Caenorhabditis elegans: one gene and its partner. The protein of the gene in region 1 purifies or fractionates together with the protein of each later gene. This does not show direct contact. Each region holds a gene or a part of one and is shown in the gene's direction. Other genes may lie near its edges. The genes, in order: scl-3 and F16H6.8.

Region 1 (8,427 bases):
GGGAACCACGAAAAAAAATCCAACTTTTCAGAACTCCGGAGTACGTTCCCAATGGTGTCCGTGGACTTTCATTTATTTTCAATGAGGCAGCCGTTCGTGATACTTGTAAACGTCTGAATATCAATCTGATCGTTCGAGCTCATCAGGTATTTTCCAAAAGACAAATAATTAATTGCTCTCGATTCAATTTTTAGATGATTCCTGAAGGATTCAAGTTCTTTGCTGATCAGAAACTTCTCACGATATTCTCGGCTCCGCGTTACATGAATGAAACCGATGTATGTCTGCTGATGTTAAACCACATCTGAAACTGTAAAATGGCATTTTCAGAATCACGGCGCCACATTGAGAGTCGAGACAGATGGAAAACTGAATATTGGGCGTTTTCGTCATAAGAAACTTCTTCATGCAAATTCAGCTGATGAAATCACTCGTGGAGATGATATTCCTAATTTGGAAAGAAAAAAGTCGGGTTCAATGCCAGTCAAACATTTGAAAACATCGTCGTCGTCGTCGCCGTCGCACTCGAACGGCAAAAGCAAGGGCGGAGAGGGGCTTTCTCTTGGAAAGATTTAGACTGAAATTAATAGTTTGTGTATAATTTCCAATATTTTTTGCAAGAAAAGTGTAAGAAAAATTTTGAATTTTTTGAATTTTCAGGTTTTTTTTGACAAAATTCAGTACAAAATGAATGACTAAAATGAATAAATATTTTATTTGAAAGATAATAACAATGCAAGCGTTTTCAAACGTGCGGTATAATTGTTTCTGACTCCAATCATTTAGACCAAACAAAAAAATCAAATGATGATTTCACAAAAACTACAGTAGCAATAGTTCCATCTTCCCTTTCGATATCCCAACCATCGGAACAATCAAATTCTTGAAAACCGATTCTGAAATTGGAAATTGATACCGTATTTCCTATGTCAGTTTAGCATCCCTACAGATTTTTAAGTAAATTAGAAATTTATTCACTTGTTGCCAGACCTACACATTGTTTGAAATAAATAAATAAATAAATAATTTTTTTGCCAAAGAACAATCATTTTTCCTTTTTACCACTAATACCTGTATACTTTTTCTCGGCGTACTTCGTCCCATCGACTAACTACTATTTCATTCAACACCACTACCCAATCTCTTATTTTGAAATCATGGTCCAAGTGGAATCTTCTCAATTCTTTCATGTTTCCGTTTAATCAATTACGGATAAAATGATTCAAGTATTCTGGAGTAAAGCTATGGTTCCATATTGTCAGTTCTTCACACTTCATCAATTTGAAGTCCTCAAGTGTAAATCCTGGATTGAAGTAAGAATCCAGTCGGCGAATATTGAATAAGTTAAATTTAAAATTACAGATAAATTACGATTTAGTTTATTATAATTATTAATATTAATGAGGAAATCAGTACTTACTATATTTTTTGTCAAAGTATAAAGTTTTGTTAATAAAGTTTTGTTCCAGTTTTTTGCTTGATTCTCTAGTAATTATTCGAGTACAAACCAGGGGTGGGCGGCAAATTTACCAAATTTGCCGAGTCGAAAAGTGTGTGGGTTTGAAGCCCGATAGCATAATATTTTCAGTCCGGCTGATCTTTTTGATATCCGTAAAAAGCTCAATTTGTTGTTGTTATTGACCAAATCGTTTGGATCATTTATGAGTTTTCTCTACAATGGACAAAAATAAAGATTGTTGTTGTTTACGTTTTGCAAATATTAAAAGTTATTTGAAAATCTCGTACTTGATTAAAAAACTCCTCTCATAAAAAGCAGCACGTTTGCAACTTTAAATCATAATTTTGTTTGCCATGTACTTCATTCTCTGCCTCCTAGCAATTGGTGTCAATGCTCAATTCACTTCAACTGGTCAATCAAGCATTGTGGATGCTCATAACAAATTGAGATCCGCTATTGCAAAGAGTACCTATGTTGCGAAGGGAACCAAAAAAGAACCAGCAACTGATATGAGGAAAATGGTAGGTTTTAAATTGCCCAATTATGTCAAATAAAAAACTTAAAGTTTTCTTTTTTCAAGAGTTTCAAGTCATTCAAGTTGGGGTAACTTTTGGCAATCATATTTGAACAAAAAGCCCAATGATGATACTTCAATAAACTTTTCAGGTCGTGGATTCCACCGTAGCTGCGTCGGCTCAGAATTATGCGAATACGTGCCCAACTGGACACTCAAAGGGAACTGGATATGGGGAAAATTTGTATTGGTCTTGGACTTCTGCGGATGTTGGATCCTTGGATTCCTATGTGAGTCGCATAACTTTTCTGGGACAGAAATCAATAATTCTTTCCAGGGAGAAATCGCCGCTGCCGCATGGGAAAAGGAATTCCAAGACTTTGGCTGGAAGTCTAACGCAATGGATACCACCCTATTCAACAGTGGAATAGGACACGCTACTCAAATGGCTTGGGCAAACACCAGCTCCATCGGGTGTGGAGTCAAGAATTGTGGACGAGACGCATCGATGAGAAATATGAACAAAATAGCTGTAGTCTGCCAGTATAGTCCACCGTAAGCACTGAAGTTTTTGATTTTTTTTAACTCAAAATTGTTCAAAAATATTCAGAGGAAACACTATGGGACGGCCGATTTATAAGGAAGGAACTACGTGTTCCAGCTGTTCCGGATCTACTAAATGTGACACTGCTTCTGGGCTTTGCGGATAATGAGAGATTTCACTTTTTGTGTCTGTAATTTTTTAATTTATTTGTTTTGTTTTAATCTGGGAATTAATTTACTAATGAAGCATTTGTTTTTTCTTGGTGATTATATAAAAAAAATAAAGCGAAAACTTTAAATTACACCAAACTTTTTTAAAATTTACGAAAATGCACACAACATCAAGTGCAGGCAAAAGTAAAACATTCTACTTGCCTATGTGCCAACAACAAAATTAGGAAGAAAATTCACTTCTTCCTAATCAGAATACTTGTTGACTTGACTCAAATGTTCATAATTACTGATAAAAGTCAATTCTTTGGTCTTGTGCTGCCCACTTCCGATCATACGTAGCTTACGATTTCTCAATTATCATACAATTTTACAGGTTTTCGCGTGATAAGACTCCTATAAAATGAACCGCAGTGATAAACATATTCGTGTTGACTTGCACTTTTTTCTCCAATTATGAATTACTTGTTGCTGGTTGTGGCGCTTGCTGTTGGCTGCTCCGCTGATTTCGGCTCTTCCGGACAAAACGGAATTATCAATGCACATAACACTCTGCGGTCTAAAATTGCAAAAGGTACCTACGTGGCAAAAGGAACTCAGAAATCGCCGGGAACAAATCTGTTGAAAATGGTATGTACATAACTAAGGTTCTCAGATTTATTTTTGATTTCAACTTTTCAGAAATGGGATTCCGCAGTCGCCGCATCCGCCCAAAACTACGCAAACGGGTGTCCGACGGGACACTCTGGAGATGCAGGCCTTGGGGAGAATTTGTATTGGTATTGGACAAGTGGATCTCTGGGAGACCTCAATCAATATGTCAGTCATTTAGTCTACCTTGTGCCTGCCTGCCTAGACCTACTGCCTATTTTGTTCAAATTTTGCCTAAATACAACATGCGAATATTGGCAGTAGGCAGGAGGCAGGCGCTTGATACCTTCTTTATTTTAAAAGTTTCTGAAATTTCTATAATCAATCTTTTCATTCAGGGATCTGCTGCGTCGGCATCATGGGAAAAAGAATTCCAAGATTACGGATGGAAGTCTAACCTTATGACTATCGATCTCTTCAACACAGGAATCGGACACGCGACTCAAATGGCGTGGGCGAAATCCAACCTGATCGGATGTGGAGTCAAGGATTGTGGAAGAGACTCAAACGGCCTGAACAAAGTAACCGTCGTGTGCCAGTACAAGCCGCAGTAAGTGAGATTTGTTGACTAGTCTATGTTGACTGTGTCTGCGAATGTTGTGTTTTGTGTTGTTCTCTAGGATAGGTTTGCAAAAAAGATAAATTTTTGGTCACGTTCCCTGAAACAAAATCCAAAAAATTAGGCAATTTTCAACAAATTTTGATCATTTTGAGGAGATCATTAAAAACAAAAAACCCAATAAAAATTATACAAAAATACGAAAAATATTGTTGTTGGCGAAAAGTGAACTGTGCTTCGACAACTGGTAAAGTAGTCTTGAACACTTTGTGAGTTAGGATTTTTCTGAAGAGTAAAAAGTAGTTTTAGGAAAATTAATTTCAACCGAGACAAAATTTTTAACATAAAAAAAAATTGAAAAGTGTATGTGCGAGAGAGCCCTGTTGAATACAAGCTACTGTTTGCTAATACATCAATTTTCAGAGGAAACTTCATTAATCAATACATCTACGTATCGGGAGCAACCTGTTCCGGCTGTCCATCAGGAACGTCATGTGAGACTTCCACAGGGCTCTGCGTCTAAACTTTAATAATGCAATGTGTTTTCAAACTTTCTGTAGATAATAAATAAAATTGTGTGCTAGTTGAAAACCAGAACACAAACAACCTTTGATCAAAATGCCTATGTAACAAATGCGACGATTACGTGTTCGAAATCCTATTGGCAGATTTGGAGTATAATGAGCAGTTAGAACTTTATTGGGAGGTCAAAGACTACTTGTGTCTAGAGATGTATCTAAGTTATGAAAAAAGTTCAAGCTATAGGTTTTTTGACTACGATATCTTGTATGTATTTTCAAAGATGTTGGTGATTTAGTTGAAAGTTAACAGCTTGAAAACGTTTTTATTTTTCCGTTTCTGACTTCCATGAATTTCAAAAAATTACCGTATGTCTGTATTGTTACTATCTACTGTGTGAAATTTCAAAAAATGAAATCCAACTTCAGCCTCCCTTTTGTATATAAAACAAACAATGTCAACATAAAACTCTTACCAATTTAGTCTATTTCTATTAAAGCACACGTTCTTTAGTTTTTTCCCTCTTCCCATGACTTTTAGTTTCCCTCACGGCGACGACGACATCCAGTTGTTCATACAAACTAAAATCTCCTATAAATATCCAACCTACTAGTTGTATTTTCAACAGACAACATGCACACCTTTACTCTTCTCGTTTTGGTTACCCTTCAGATTGGTAAGTTTTTTTTTTGGAAATTTTTGAAACTAATTTTCTTCAATTTTTCAGGAGCTTATGCTCAATTCAGAGAAAGCACTCAACAATTCATTGTGGACCTTCATAATAAGCTTCGTACTTCAATTGCCAAGGGAACATATGTGGCTAAAGGGACAACAAAAGCAGCTGGTAGTAATCTTTTGAAAATGGTAGGTTTTCGGCAGTTAGTTACTTTGTGATTTTCCAATGAATGGAACCTTCAGTTGAAGGTCTTTGCTAGGTTCAAGTGCTCTTCAGAGCATTTTCTAAAGTTTCAGTCGGCTTCTCTACAGATCTGGGAGCACTTGATCTGGAGTTAATTAAAGGGTCTGATGTAGAGCTGGCGTAGACTTCTTAGACCTCGCCTACTATCGCCTACTACTCACTCCTTATACCTCCAATACCATTTCAGAAGTGGGACACCACATTGGCCACCGCTGCTCAAACTTTTGCTAACACTTGCCCGAGAGGTCACTCCAATGCAGCTGGAGTTGGAGAGAACTTGTACTGGAGATGGTCCAGCCTCCCATTCTCCGGAATGGATATCTATGGAGGAGCTGCATCTGTTGCCTGGGAACAAGAATTCCAGCAGTACGGATGGACAACCAACACTTTCACTCAAGCCCTTGCTAACACTGGAATTGGACATGCTACCCAAATGGCTTGGGCTAATACTGGTCTGATTGGATGTGGAGTGAAGAACTGCGGACCTGATCCAGAACTAAATAACTATAACAGAGCTGTTGTGGTTTGCCAATACAAGGCTCAGTAAGCATTTGAAGCAAACATGCACATAAAAACGATGAATTTTCAGAGGAAACTATTTGGGTCAAGACATCTACAAGTCAGGAACCACTTGCTCAGCGTGCCCAACTGGAACCACTTGTGAAGCTGCCACTGGACTTTGTGTATAAACTTGTGGAAAATGATTGAAACGTAGATAATATTTCAACACTGCCCATTGCATTCCAATATTCTTTCCATTGTGTAATAAATTTTCTTATATTTTTTTGATGGACTGGATAATAAGAAAAAAGCGGCCTAATGTGTACATGAGTCAGAGATCTATTGTATTCATTAAAAAATCTTCCAAACCAAAACATTATGCATAAACTACCTAATTAGTTTCTTATTTGTTCCTAATTTGGATCGAGCTTTTCATATAGGCACTAAAATCCCTTGCCTACCTGCCTTCAAGACGACCTACGCCTGGCTTATGCCTACATGGTGTAAACTCTGAACATCAGAGTTCCCAGCACCAGGCAGAGAAAAAGACACTGACGCCTGCCTACCTCCTATGAAATCCCTAATTTGAAGTTTAACCTTGCTCAAACGGGGCTCACTAAATACACAATGTGTCAAAAAATTGGCGAGACAAGTTTTGTACACCTGCTCGTTACCGCATGATCAACGATCTGTACCACGCATTTTCTCGAATGGAGCCTAGTTTACAAGCATCTGATTACACAAAATGGCTCATTGGATTATTGACTTAGAATAGGGGAAAATCGATCACGAACTGGAAATAAGAAGTTTACTCGAAAAAAGGTCTAACAATTTAATATTTCTGGTTACTTGGCAATTTTAGAAAATATTTTACAGTAACAACTTTTCTTGGACTTTCAAAGAAAAAGTGCCCTAACCGTTTTTTAAGAATTAAAAAAAATTTTAAGAAGCTTCCAGGATGTTAGCCTACTCCCGAAAATCTTTAAAATTTTGCTTTTGGGGTAGGCTCACGAGAAATTCGTTCTAAGTATGTAGATAACTATAATTTTTCTTCCGGGAATCAAAAATCATTGATCTTTGTATTTTCTTTGCGTACGTGTGTCTTTGTGTACGATTATCATAGTTTAAGTTTTTTTCTTCTTTTTCTGAAATATAACAATAAACTACACGAGAACATCTAGACGTATGTTTTGAAAATGTAAATTTGAGGTTTTCTGAAAATATAAAACTCTTGATCTCGAACTATTCGTGCATCAAACTAAGCCAGTTTTCTTCGTGATCTTCTGGATACTACATAAACTATATAAATATACAAAAACTATATTAAAACCTACGAAGTTTGATTTCGATATCGAAACAATGAGAACAACATTTCTCATAATTCTACTTAGTATACTGGCAATAGGTAAGGATAATATTTAACTCAAACGAACTAAATATATTTATGTTACAGGTAGCTCTGCTCAATTTGTGGCAAATACCCAACAATTTATAGTGGATATTCACAACACGTTTCGTTCAAAGCTTGCACTGGGAACTTATGTATCGAAGGGTGTGACGAAGCCAGCAGCAAGTAACATGTTGAAAATGGTAAGTTATTTTTGAAGTTGTGTTAGAGCACCATTTTATTGGCTTATATCTGCTCGAAACTTTGCAATTGGAAAAAAAAATTAAAGGTAGGGGCTTAAATTATTAAAAACCTCCAATAGTGTTGACCAAAATCGCAGTAAATATTCTTATAAAAATGTTTTAGTTACAGTCAAAAAGCGTTGAAAACTCAGTTTTCTTCAAAAAGATATCGACCAAAAAATATTTTCTACGAGGGCTACTTGTTTACTGATTAAAAAATTGTAGAAGTTTGAGCCAGCAGCAATTTTTCAAATTTAGTTTTTTAGTAATTCAAAAAGTCCACATTTTTAACAAAAAATTAACATTTTTCTGAGACTGAATTTTGAAAAATCTGAAATTTTGGAGTGTTTTGTTCCAGATCTGTCATGTTGGACTATTGTAAGTATAGTTAAACTAAATCCCCCATTGGCGATATTCCACCTTCAATCAAGTCTTCACAAATGAACACCTAATCCTCCAATTTTATAGAAATTGAACATCACACTGACTGTCTCAGCTCAAGCCTACGCAAACACATGCCCAAAAAATCACTCGAATCTCGAGTTGGGGAAAATATCTACTATAGATACACCACTGCGCCATTTTCCGGTATGAATGTTTATGGCGGAGCTGCGTCAGTCGCATGGGAGCAAGAAGTTCAGAGAAATGAATGGCCATCGAATATAATCTCAATCGATGTTTTGCTCGTGACCGATGAACTCAGAATCATTTTGCACGCAACACAAATGGCATGGGCAACATCTGGACAGATTGGATGTGGAGTTAAAAATTGTGGAAAGGATATGCCAGATAGACCAACTTTTAATCGAGGAGTCGTTGTGTGTCACTATAGCTCTTTTTAAGGAAAATAGCAAAAAACATTAGAAAAAGACTACGCAAAAATTACAGCAAAATGTCTAGGAGCCAAGATTTAGCGGAGCGTATTTTGGCTTAACGCAAAAATTTTCTTTGCATTTTTGCAT
Region 2 (8,887 bases), on another chromosome or scaffold:
CAAAAATTCGCGCATTTTTTGTAGATCAAACCATTGATGGGACATCCAAACATCACGACACAAAACTGAGTTCTTTTGATGTTTAAGCAGCAGGCACACCACACCGAATTTACTCAGAAACCAGATGTGCGTTATTATCAAAAAAATACGATCACACAATTTTCTCATAATTTATTTTTGATCTACCTTGTTGACTAGGCGGCCACAAAAAAAAACAACGGCAATAAGATTGGGGGCGGAGTCAAGTTCAACAGGTAGATCAAAAATAAATTATGAGAAATTTGTGCCATCGTCTTTTTTCGATAATAAGAACTTAGTAGTTTTGGTGCTCCAAAAATATACCATTTTTCGGAGTTTGTTAAGAACGGCAAATTTCGAGATTTGTCGCACATCCCTGGATCACATCAGGAGTGGGCGGCAAACGATTTTTTGCAAATGGCAAATTGCCGGAATTGCAATTTTCCAGCAAATCGGCAAACCGACCAGTTGCCGATTTGCCGAATTTGCAGAAAAAAACGGCGAGTGCCGAAAATTTTTGGCATATTGTGGTTTTGCACATTTTTTTTTGGAAATTTCAGAGTTTCAATTTCAATCGGCAACATTGTAAGCATCCTATGAATTTTCCTACAGCTACTTTCACAGAGCGGCTTTTACTACGTGGCCTAGAAAAATCAAAAACTCGGCCAATAATTTATCTGGGATTTTTGACGTGGGATGTTTCTGAAACTTGACGAGAATGTTCTCGAAAAGGGGTTCTATAGTTCCACCGTAGCGATTTTTGAGAAAATGTTCCGTATCCATATTGTGAAGGTGGCCGAGTTTTCCTATTTTACGGCCACGTAGTAAAAACCGCTCTGTGCTTTAAAAAGTAAGCAAATTATAAGAAATATCAGAAGAAAACGGAAAAAAGAGTTTCAAAAAGGCACAGTTTCCGTCTCATGAAAAATATCTCTAAAAATTTCCGGCAAATCTGATATCCGACAAACGGCAAATCGGCAAGTTAGCAAAAATTAAATGTTCCGGCAAATCGGCAGACGGCAAATTGCCGATTTGCCGAACGACAGGTCATACTTGACTAACTTGACCTACCTTTTGTGAACATTCTTTCACAAGCATTGTAGTAATATGAATCACTCATCAGGGCACCCATTGCGGTTGCAGATCTGGATCGAACTGCTTCCAATAGCGAATCCAGGAAAACTAGCAATACTTGTCTTTTCTGATCAACTTGACCGACGCTTTTTTGACAGTGAAACTGCTTCGCATGAATCAGAAGTCCACCATTCCCGGCCACCGCTACACCGAATCGAATATCAATTGGTACAGAACGCAGCCCGGTCACAGTGATGTCGACCAGATAATACTCAGGTAATTCTATGACTTCAATGACATCGAACTCCACTTCCCTGTCGGCTGGTCGGTTGACAAGACGTTGAATTATTTCTTCTGAAAAATAAGAAACTATTCATTAGTTCCATAACCAATCTGAATTACCCTTTGAGAATGTTCTATCGCACGCTTCAAAGATATACTTGTCATATATCAGATCGCCAATTGCGGATGGAGATCTTGAATGAATTGCTTCCAATAGTTGATCCAGGAAATCATTAATCACACTTTTTGTCTGAGTGACCTGACTGACTGCGTTTTGGCAGTTGAATTGTTTTGCATGAGTCAAGAGAGCACTGTTCCCTTTGACCTTTACATCAAATGCAATATCAATTTGTACAGATCGGAGTCCGGTTACAGTGATGAGGACGGTAAAATGTCCCGCATTTTCTTTATAGGCTGTGATATTGAACTCAACATTTCTGTCTGCTGGTAGGTTGACAATACGTTCAATGATTTTATCTAAAATATAGGAGAATAATCATTCGGGGCATACAGGGTTGGTCAGGATTTTGTGGACGCAAAGACGTGACAGATTGCATAAGAAATGAGCTACTTATTTAGAACAGTGCGTCCAACTTCTATAGGACCCCCCTCAGTTCTGGTGGTTTGAGATTTACTGAACATTTTCGTGAAAAACTGCCAATGCCATTCGATTTTAAATGTCAAAAAACATATACCCGTATAATTTCATGATGATAGCTCAAAAACTACGCGCGCCCGGGCTGAAAGTCAAAAAAACGGCCGTCCAACTTCTATAAGACCCCCAGTTTTTTGAAATTTTATCGAAAAAAGCACTGAAATTTTAAAAACTTATCAAATTATTTTTTTGAGATGTTTACATAAAAATGATCTAAACATCTCAATTGCTCATAACAAACTAAAATATGTCACGCGAAAGTGCTGGGAAGCAACCGGGACCGTTCTGTACCTCATTTTTGAGCTTGAGAGTCCAGTACTTTGCTTCCAGTAGTCCTAATATCACAAAAAGTTTGGAAAATGTTAGTGTACATCCAAAGATTGTTCCTGTGAAATTTCGTCTAATTTGGAGTATTTTCAGATGTTTTATGGCAAAAATAATTCAATGACACAGGTAGCTGAGGCATTTTTAACCAAAAAATTTGGCTTACAAACTATTTTTGCCATAAAACATCTGAAAATGCTCCAAATTAGACAAAATTTCACAGGAACAATCTTTGGATATACACTAACATTTTCCAAACTTTTTGTGATATTAGGACTACTGGGAGCAAAGTACTGGGCTCAGAAGCACTGAAAAGTGGTACAGGACGGTCCCGTTTGCTTCCCAGCACTTTCGCGTGACATATTTTAGTTTGTTATGAGCAATTGAGATGTTAAGATAATTTTTATGTAATCATCTCAAAAAAATAATTTGATAAGTTTTTAAAATTTCAGCCGTTTTTTTGACTTTCAGCCCGGGCGCGCGTAGTTTTTGAGCTATCATCATGAAATTATACGGGTATATGTTTTTTGACATTTAAAATCAAATGGCATTGGCAGTTTTCCACAAAAATGTTCAGGAAGTCTCAAACCACCAAAATTGAGGGGGGTCCTATAGAAGTTGGACGCACTGTATAAGACCTTAAATTTTGGTATACTAGGTTTAGAAAATCAGTAACATTTAAATAATGTGGAGCAGCTGGATGATTAAAGGAAGCTGGATAAGCTACCGTATTTCTTCTATTAATATGGCTGCAATACTATTTTTCGATGGCCTTCCCGTTTGCAATACTATTAGGGAGTGCAAGTCTAATAGGGAGGCCATATTAATAGAAGATATACGGTTCTTCAGATTTCAAATTTTGGACTAAAACTGAGTGTTATAACAACACGTGGTGCCAGGCTGACCCATTAAATTCTGATCTACAAAAAAAAGGCGGGAATTGTTTTCCAAAATAAAGTGACGTCAGCACTCTTATGCGAAATATGGTGAACAGTCTGCGTGATCTACGTAGATCAAAATGATGAGGCATCAAAACACTCTGACACCACATGTGACATGAATCATGTATTTGTCATAGTGTTAATCTAGCTGTATGACCAACATAATTATGATCGCTCACCCTTTGAGACGTTTCTTTCACAAGCTTCAAAGATATACGAGTCCGTCATCAGGTCGCAAAGGGCAGATGCTGATCTTGATCGCATTGCTGCCAACAACGAGTCCAGGAAAACAAACAGATTTTTGGTCTTATCTACCAGATTAGGGTTGTTAGGACAATGCAATTGTTGTGCTTGAACCAGAAGTATAGTATTCTCTTTCACACCTACAGCGAATCTGATATCAATTGGAACAGAACGGAGTCCGGTCACAGTGATGTCGACCAAATAATATATCTCATTAATTTCTACAATACGTTTGACATCAAAATCAAAAGTTCTGTCGGCTGGTCGGTTGACAAGGCGTTGGACGATTTCGTCTAAAGAATAAAAAACCACTCATCAGTCTCATAACAAATCTGAATTACCTTTTGAGAATTTTCTTTCGCACGCTACAAAGATATATTTGTCATCTATGAATGCGCTAATTGTGGTGGCATCTCTTGATCGAATTGCTATCAATAGTGAATCCAGGAAAATGTTTATTACACTCTTTCTCTGATCAACCTGACTGACGGCGTTTTGGCAGTTAAATTGTTTCGCATTAGTCAAGAGAGCACTATTTCCCAAAATCTCTACATCAAAGGCAATATCAATTGGTACAGATCGGAGCCCGGTTACAGTGATGAGGACGGTAAAATGTCCCGCATTTTGTTTATAAGCTGTAACAATGAACTCGACATTTCTGTCTGCTGGGAGGTTGACAATACGTTCGATGATTTCGTCTGAAATATAGGAGAATGTTCAAAAGTTATATAGATACAAGGTGGATCATGATTTTGTGAGATCGTCATTCGCTAGGAATTCTCGATAGTTTACTCGTGCAATCCGAATTAAGATCGTATTCCTTGTAAAAACTAACTTTGGATAATGGCAAACATGTTTGGAACACGACTTATGTTAAAATTTACGAGACAACATTTTGTGCCTAAAACTAGGGCTCCCGCAAAGGCGCCTCCGCCGGCCTCAGCTGTCGCCGCGCCGGCCTCACGGCGTCATCCACGCCGCATGTACAATGAGGTGCGTAACCGCGAACGTCAGAACTGGTCAATTTTCTTTTAATTCAATCAGAAACTCAGAAAAATCCAAATTACGAGCAGTATGTAGTCTACTGGTAAACTAGCCTTTTCTTTCGAAATTTATACGCTCGGGCTGGAAAGAGCCTCTCATAATGGGCAGAAGCCCTGGCAAGAGGAACTTTTGACAACTTGTAAAGTAAGGGCGCTATAAGGTCATAAGCTGAATGTACCCTAATGTATAGTGCGACGCGGAACCCCGAACGTGTCGGCCGCTTCAAATAACTACCTCTCGCACATCATTTCACGCACACTGCGGCGCGCGGCTTCAGCGCGCGGCTTCGGCGCAAGGCCGGCGGGCGTGAAGCCGGCGTGAGGCCCGCATTTCGCGCCTCACTCAGCTGGGAGCCCTACCTAAAACTGAGTTTTATAACAACACATGGTGTCATTCTGTACCATTACAGGTTGATCTAAAAAAAATGAGAGAATGTTTTAAATCATGCAAAATTTGTTAAGAATTCTGACTCTGAATTTCCGCAAATCCTGGAAAATCTAAGTAGATCAAATCGAAAAGGGACACTCTGGCATTAAATGTAACATAAAGCATGTAGAAACAAAGGTGTATTACTTCGTCGACATCACTGTCACCGGACTCCGCTCTGTTCCAGTTGATATGAGATTTGTTGTAGATGTGACAGGGAATAGTACACTCTTGGCTTTTGCACAACAATTGAACTGTCAAAACAACCCCAATCTGGTAGATAAGACCAAAAATCTGTTTGATTTCCTGGACTCGCTGTTGGCAGCAATGCGATCAAGATCAGCATCTGCCATTGGCGCCCTGATTTCTGATTCATATGTATTCAAAGCATGCGAGAGAAAGTTTTCAAAGGGTAAGTGAAATAAAAGAGCACTGTAAAAGTCAGAATAATGCGGACTCGTTGAATGATTTGAATTGAATTGATAGTTCAATTAAGTTCCTTCCATTTACTTTAACATAAACCGTATCCCGCTGTTAAACTACTATAGATCCTTGTCAAATCAACTTTCTTACGACTTTTGGCGACTTGCATTTTTTGAGCCTTCAGGCTTACAACCCTGGGTTTTTACACAGATTTCTATACACTTAGCTTAGGTGAAATTATTTAGTGCAACTGGGGACACAGTTAGAGTAACCCTTGGACAAATACATGCTTTATGTTACATTTAATGCCAGAGTGTCCCTTTTCGATTTGATCTACTTAGATTTTCCAGGATTTGCGGAAATTCAGAGTCAGAATTCTTAACAAATTTTGCATGATTTAAAACATTCTCTCATTTTTTTTAGATCAACCTGTAATGGTACAGAATGACACCATGTGTTGTTATAAAACTCAGTTTTAGGTAGGGCTCCCAGCTGAGTGAGGCGCGAAATGCGGGCCTCACGCAGGCTTCACGCCCGCCGGCCTTGCGCCGAAGCCGCGCGCTGAAGCCGCGCGCCGCAGTGTGCGTGAAATGATGTGCGAGAGGTAGTTATTTGAAGCGGCCGACACGTTCGGGGTTCCGCGTCGCACTATACATTAGGGTACATTCAGCTTATGACCTTATAGCGCCCTTACTTTACAAGTTGTCAAAAGTTCCTCTTGCCAGGGCTTCTGCCCATTATGAGAGGCTCTTTCCAGCCCGAGCGTATAAATTTCGAAAGAAAAGGCTAGTTTACCAGTAGACTACATACTGCTCGTAATTTGGATTTTTCTGAGTTTCTGATTGAATTAAAAGAAAATTGACCAGTTCTGACGTTCGCGGTTACGCACCTCATTGTACATGCGGCGTGGATGACGCCGTGAGGCCGGCGCGGCGACAGCTGAGGCCGGCGGAGGCGCCTTTGCGGGAGCCCTAGTTTTAGGCACAAAATGTTGTCTCGTAAATTTTAACATAAGTCGTGTTCCAAACATGTTTGCCATTATCCAAAGTTAGTTTTTACAAGGAATACGATCTTAATTCGGATTGCACGAGTAAACTATCGAGAATTCCTAGCGAATGACGATCTCACAAAATCATGATCCACCTTGTATCTATATAACTTTTGAACATTCTCCTATATTTCAGACGAAATCATCGAACGTATTGTCAACCTCCCAGCAGACAGAAATGTCGAGTTCATTGTTACAGCTTATAAACAAAATGCGGGACATTTTACCGTCCTCATCACTGTAACCGGGCTCCGATCTGTACCAATTGATATTGCCTTTGATGTAGAGATTTTGGGAAATAGTGCTCTCTTGACTAATGCGAAACAATTTAACTGCCAAAACGCCGTCAGTCAGGTTGATCAGAGAAAGAGTGTAATAAACATTTTCCTGGATTCACTATTGATAGCAATTCGATCAAGAGATGCCACCACAATTAGCGCATTCATAGATGACAAATATATCTTTGTAGCGTGCGAAAGAAAATTCTCAAAAGGTAATTCAGATTTGTTATGAGACTGATGAGTGGTTTTTTATTCTTTAGACGAAATCGTCCAACGCCTTGTCAACCGACCAGCCGACAGAACTTTTGATTTTGATGTCAAACGTATTGTAGAAATTAATGAGATATATTATTTGGTCGACATCACTGTGACCGGACTCCGATCTGTACAAATTGATATTGCATTTGATGTAAAGGTCAAAGGGAACAGTGCTCTCTTGACTCATGCAAAACAATTCAACTGCCAAAACGCAGTCAGTCAGGTCACTCAGACAAAAAGTGTGATTAATGATTTCCTGGATCAACTATTGGAAGCAATTCATTCAAGATCTCCATCCGCAATTGGCGATCTGATATATGACAAGTATATCTTTGAAGCGTGCGATAGAACATTCTCAAAGGGTAATTCAGATTGGTTATGGAACTAATGAATAGTTTCTTATTTTTCAGAAGAAATAATTCAACGTCTTGTCAACCGACCAGCCGACAGGGAAGTGGAGTTCGATGTCATTGAAGTCATAGAATTACCTGAGTATTATCTGGTCGACATCACTGTGACCGGGCTGCGTTCTGTACCAATTGATATTCGATTCGGTGTAGCGGTGGCCGGGAATGGTGGACTTCTGATTCATGCGAAGCAGTTTCACTGTCAAAAAAGCGTCGGTCAAGTTGATCAGAAAAGACAAGTATTGCTAGTTTTCCTGGATTCGCTATTGGAAGCAGTTCGATCCAGATCTGCAACCGCAATGGGTGCCCTGATGAGTGATTCATATTACTACAATGCTTGTGAAAGAATGTTCACAAAAGGTAGGTCAAGTTAGTCAAGTATGACCTGTCGTTCGGCAAATCGGCAATTTGCCGTCTTATTCGTTTGTGTGAAACACATCGAAAAAAGTGAAAAGCTGCCTGGCCTAGCTCCCTTCCGAATCCTGAGCAAGAGAAAATTTAATGCTTACATTGTTAAGCTTGGAGCACGAACGGATCAAAATCAAACGACGAGCACTAGGAGTTGATGGAGCAGACAGCGAGACTTCAGGTGTGGAACTTGAATCGAGTACTGATTTAGCGATTGATTGATGGAGACATGGCTGAGGGGGGAGGTCGATGTCACGTGAGAATTTTTAAATCTTAAAGAGAATAAACAAAAATTAATGATTTTGTCATGAAAGGTCAAACACGTTTCTGTTGTTGGCAGCAATATGAGAAAAAATAATCAAGCTGCAGAGTTGGTCGTTCTGGTCCTGGCGATGATGTGCTGTCGTTTCGGTTGGTCTTCCTGGCAATTTTTGCATTGAGATTATTGATCGGGCAAAATTTGGCATTTTAGCTAAAATCAGTACAATTTTTCGAAATTTTGAGCGGCGATAAAAAACTTTTGTAACGTTACTGAGAAGTTTCACTACGTAATTTGTTTATTTGAGCACGCCGACGCCGCGGTGTGTGTGCACAGAAGTGCGAGAGGTGGTTATTCGGAAGCAGCCGACACGTTCGGGTTCCGCAGCTTGCCGTGAAATGAGTAGCTTGGTGTGTGCGCAACGTAGTGCAAAGTTATTTGGAAGCGGCCGACACGTTCAAGGTTCCGCGCCGCGCTATCCGTGCGGCGTAAGGGATGCCGTGAGGCCGGCGCGGCGGCAGCCTTATTTTGGGTATATATAATACGTTCAAAATCGTCCAAACCGTTCGTCCTCCTTTAAAGTATTTTATTGAAAAAAAAACATGGTAATCAATAAATCTTATGAACATTTATCAACAAAAAAAAGTACAATTAATTAATTCAGACCATTTCCTCCAACTCCTTTCTGAGCTTTTTGCAATGGTTGAGAGCTTTACTCAATTCTTCGAATTTTAGCGTGAAGAAGTCGATCGATTTGTCTCGAGCCTCGGGCACATATTCTAAGAATTGGGTGATC

Evidence for each region.
Region 2: the proteins of scl-3 (region 1) and F16H6.8 fractionate together in Caenorhabditis elegans (co-fractionation; one large-scale study listed by BioGRID). This does not show direct contact.

The regions. Positions count from the first base shown.
Region 1 is NC_003282.8:13,054,579-13,063,005, forward strand, and holds scl-3 (SCP domain-containing protein), read left to right. Parts: upstream 1-5,005; 5' UTR 5,006-5,049; coding exon 5,050-5,092; intron 5,093-5,143; coding exon 5,144-5,280; intron 5,281-5,522; coding exon 5,523-5,878; intron 5,879-5,924; coding exon 5,925-6,024; 3' UTR 6,025-6,117; downstream 6,118-8,427. Other genes in the region: F49E11.7 (Serine/threonine-protein phosphatase), read left to right, coding at 32-146, 195-278, 331-576; scl-1 (SCP domain-containing protein), read left to right, coding at 1,813-1,980, 2,126-2,263, 2,311-2,528, 2,584-2,683; scl-2 (SCP domain-containing protein), read left to right, coding at 3,144-3,317, 3,369-3,506, 3,677-3,888, 4,321-4,420.
Region 2 is NC_003283.11:18,212,588-18,221,474, reverse strand, and holds F16H6.8 (Mediator of RNA polymerase II transcription subunit 1), read left to right. Parts: upstream 1-5,199; coding exon 5,200-5,419; intron 5,420-6,614; coding exon 6,615-6,971; intron 6,972-7,019; coding exon 7,020-7,379; intron 7,380-7,427; coding exon 7,428-7,798; downstream 7,799-8,887. Other genes in the region: F16H6.9 (BPI2 domain-containing protein), read right to left, coding at 1,090-1,446, 1,495-1,851, 3,474-3,830, 3,879-4,235, 4,373-4,391.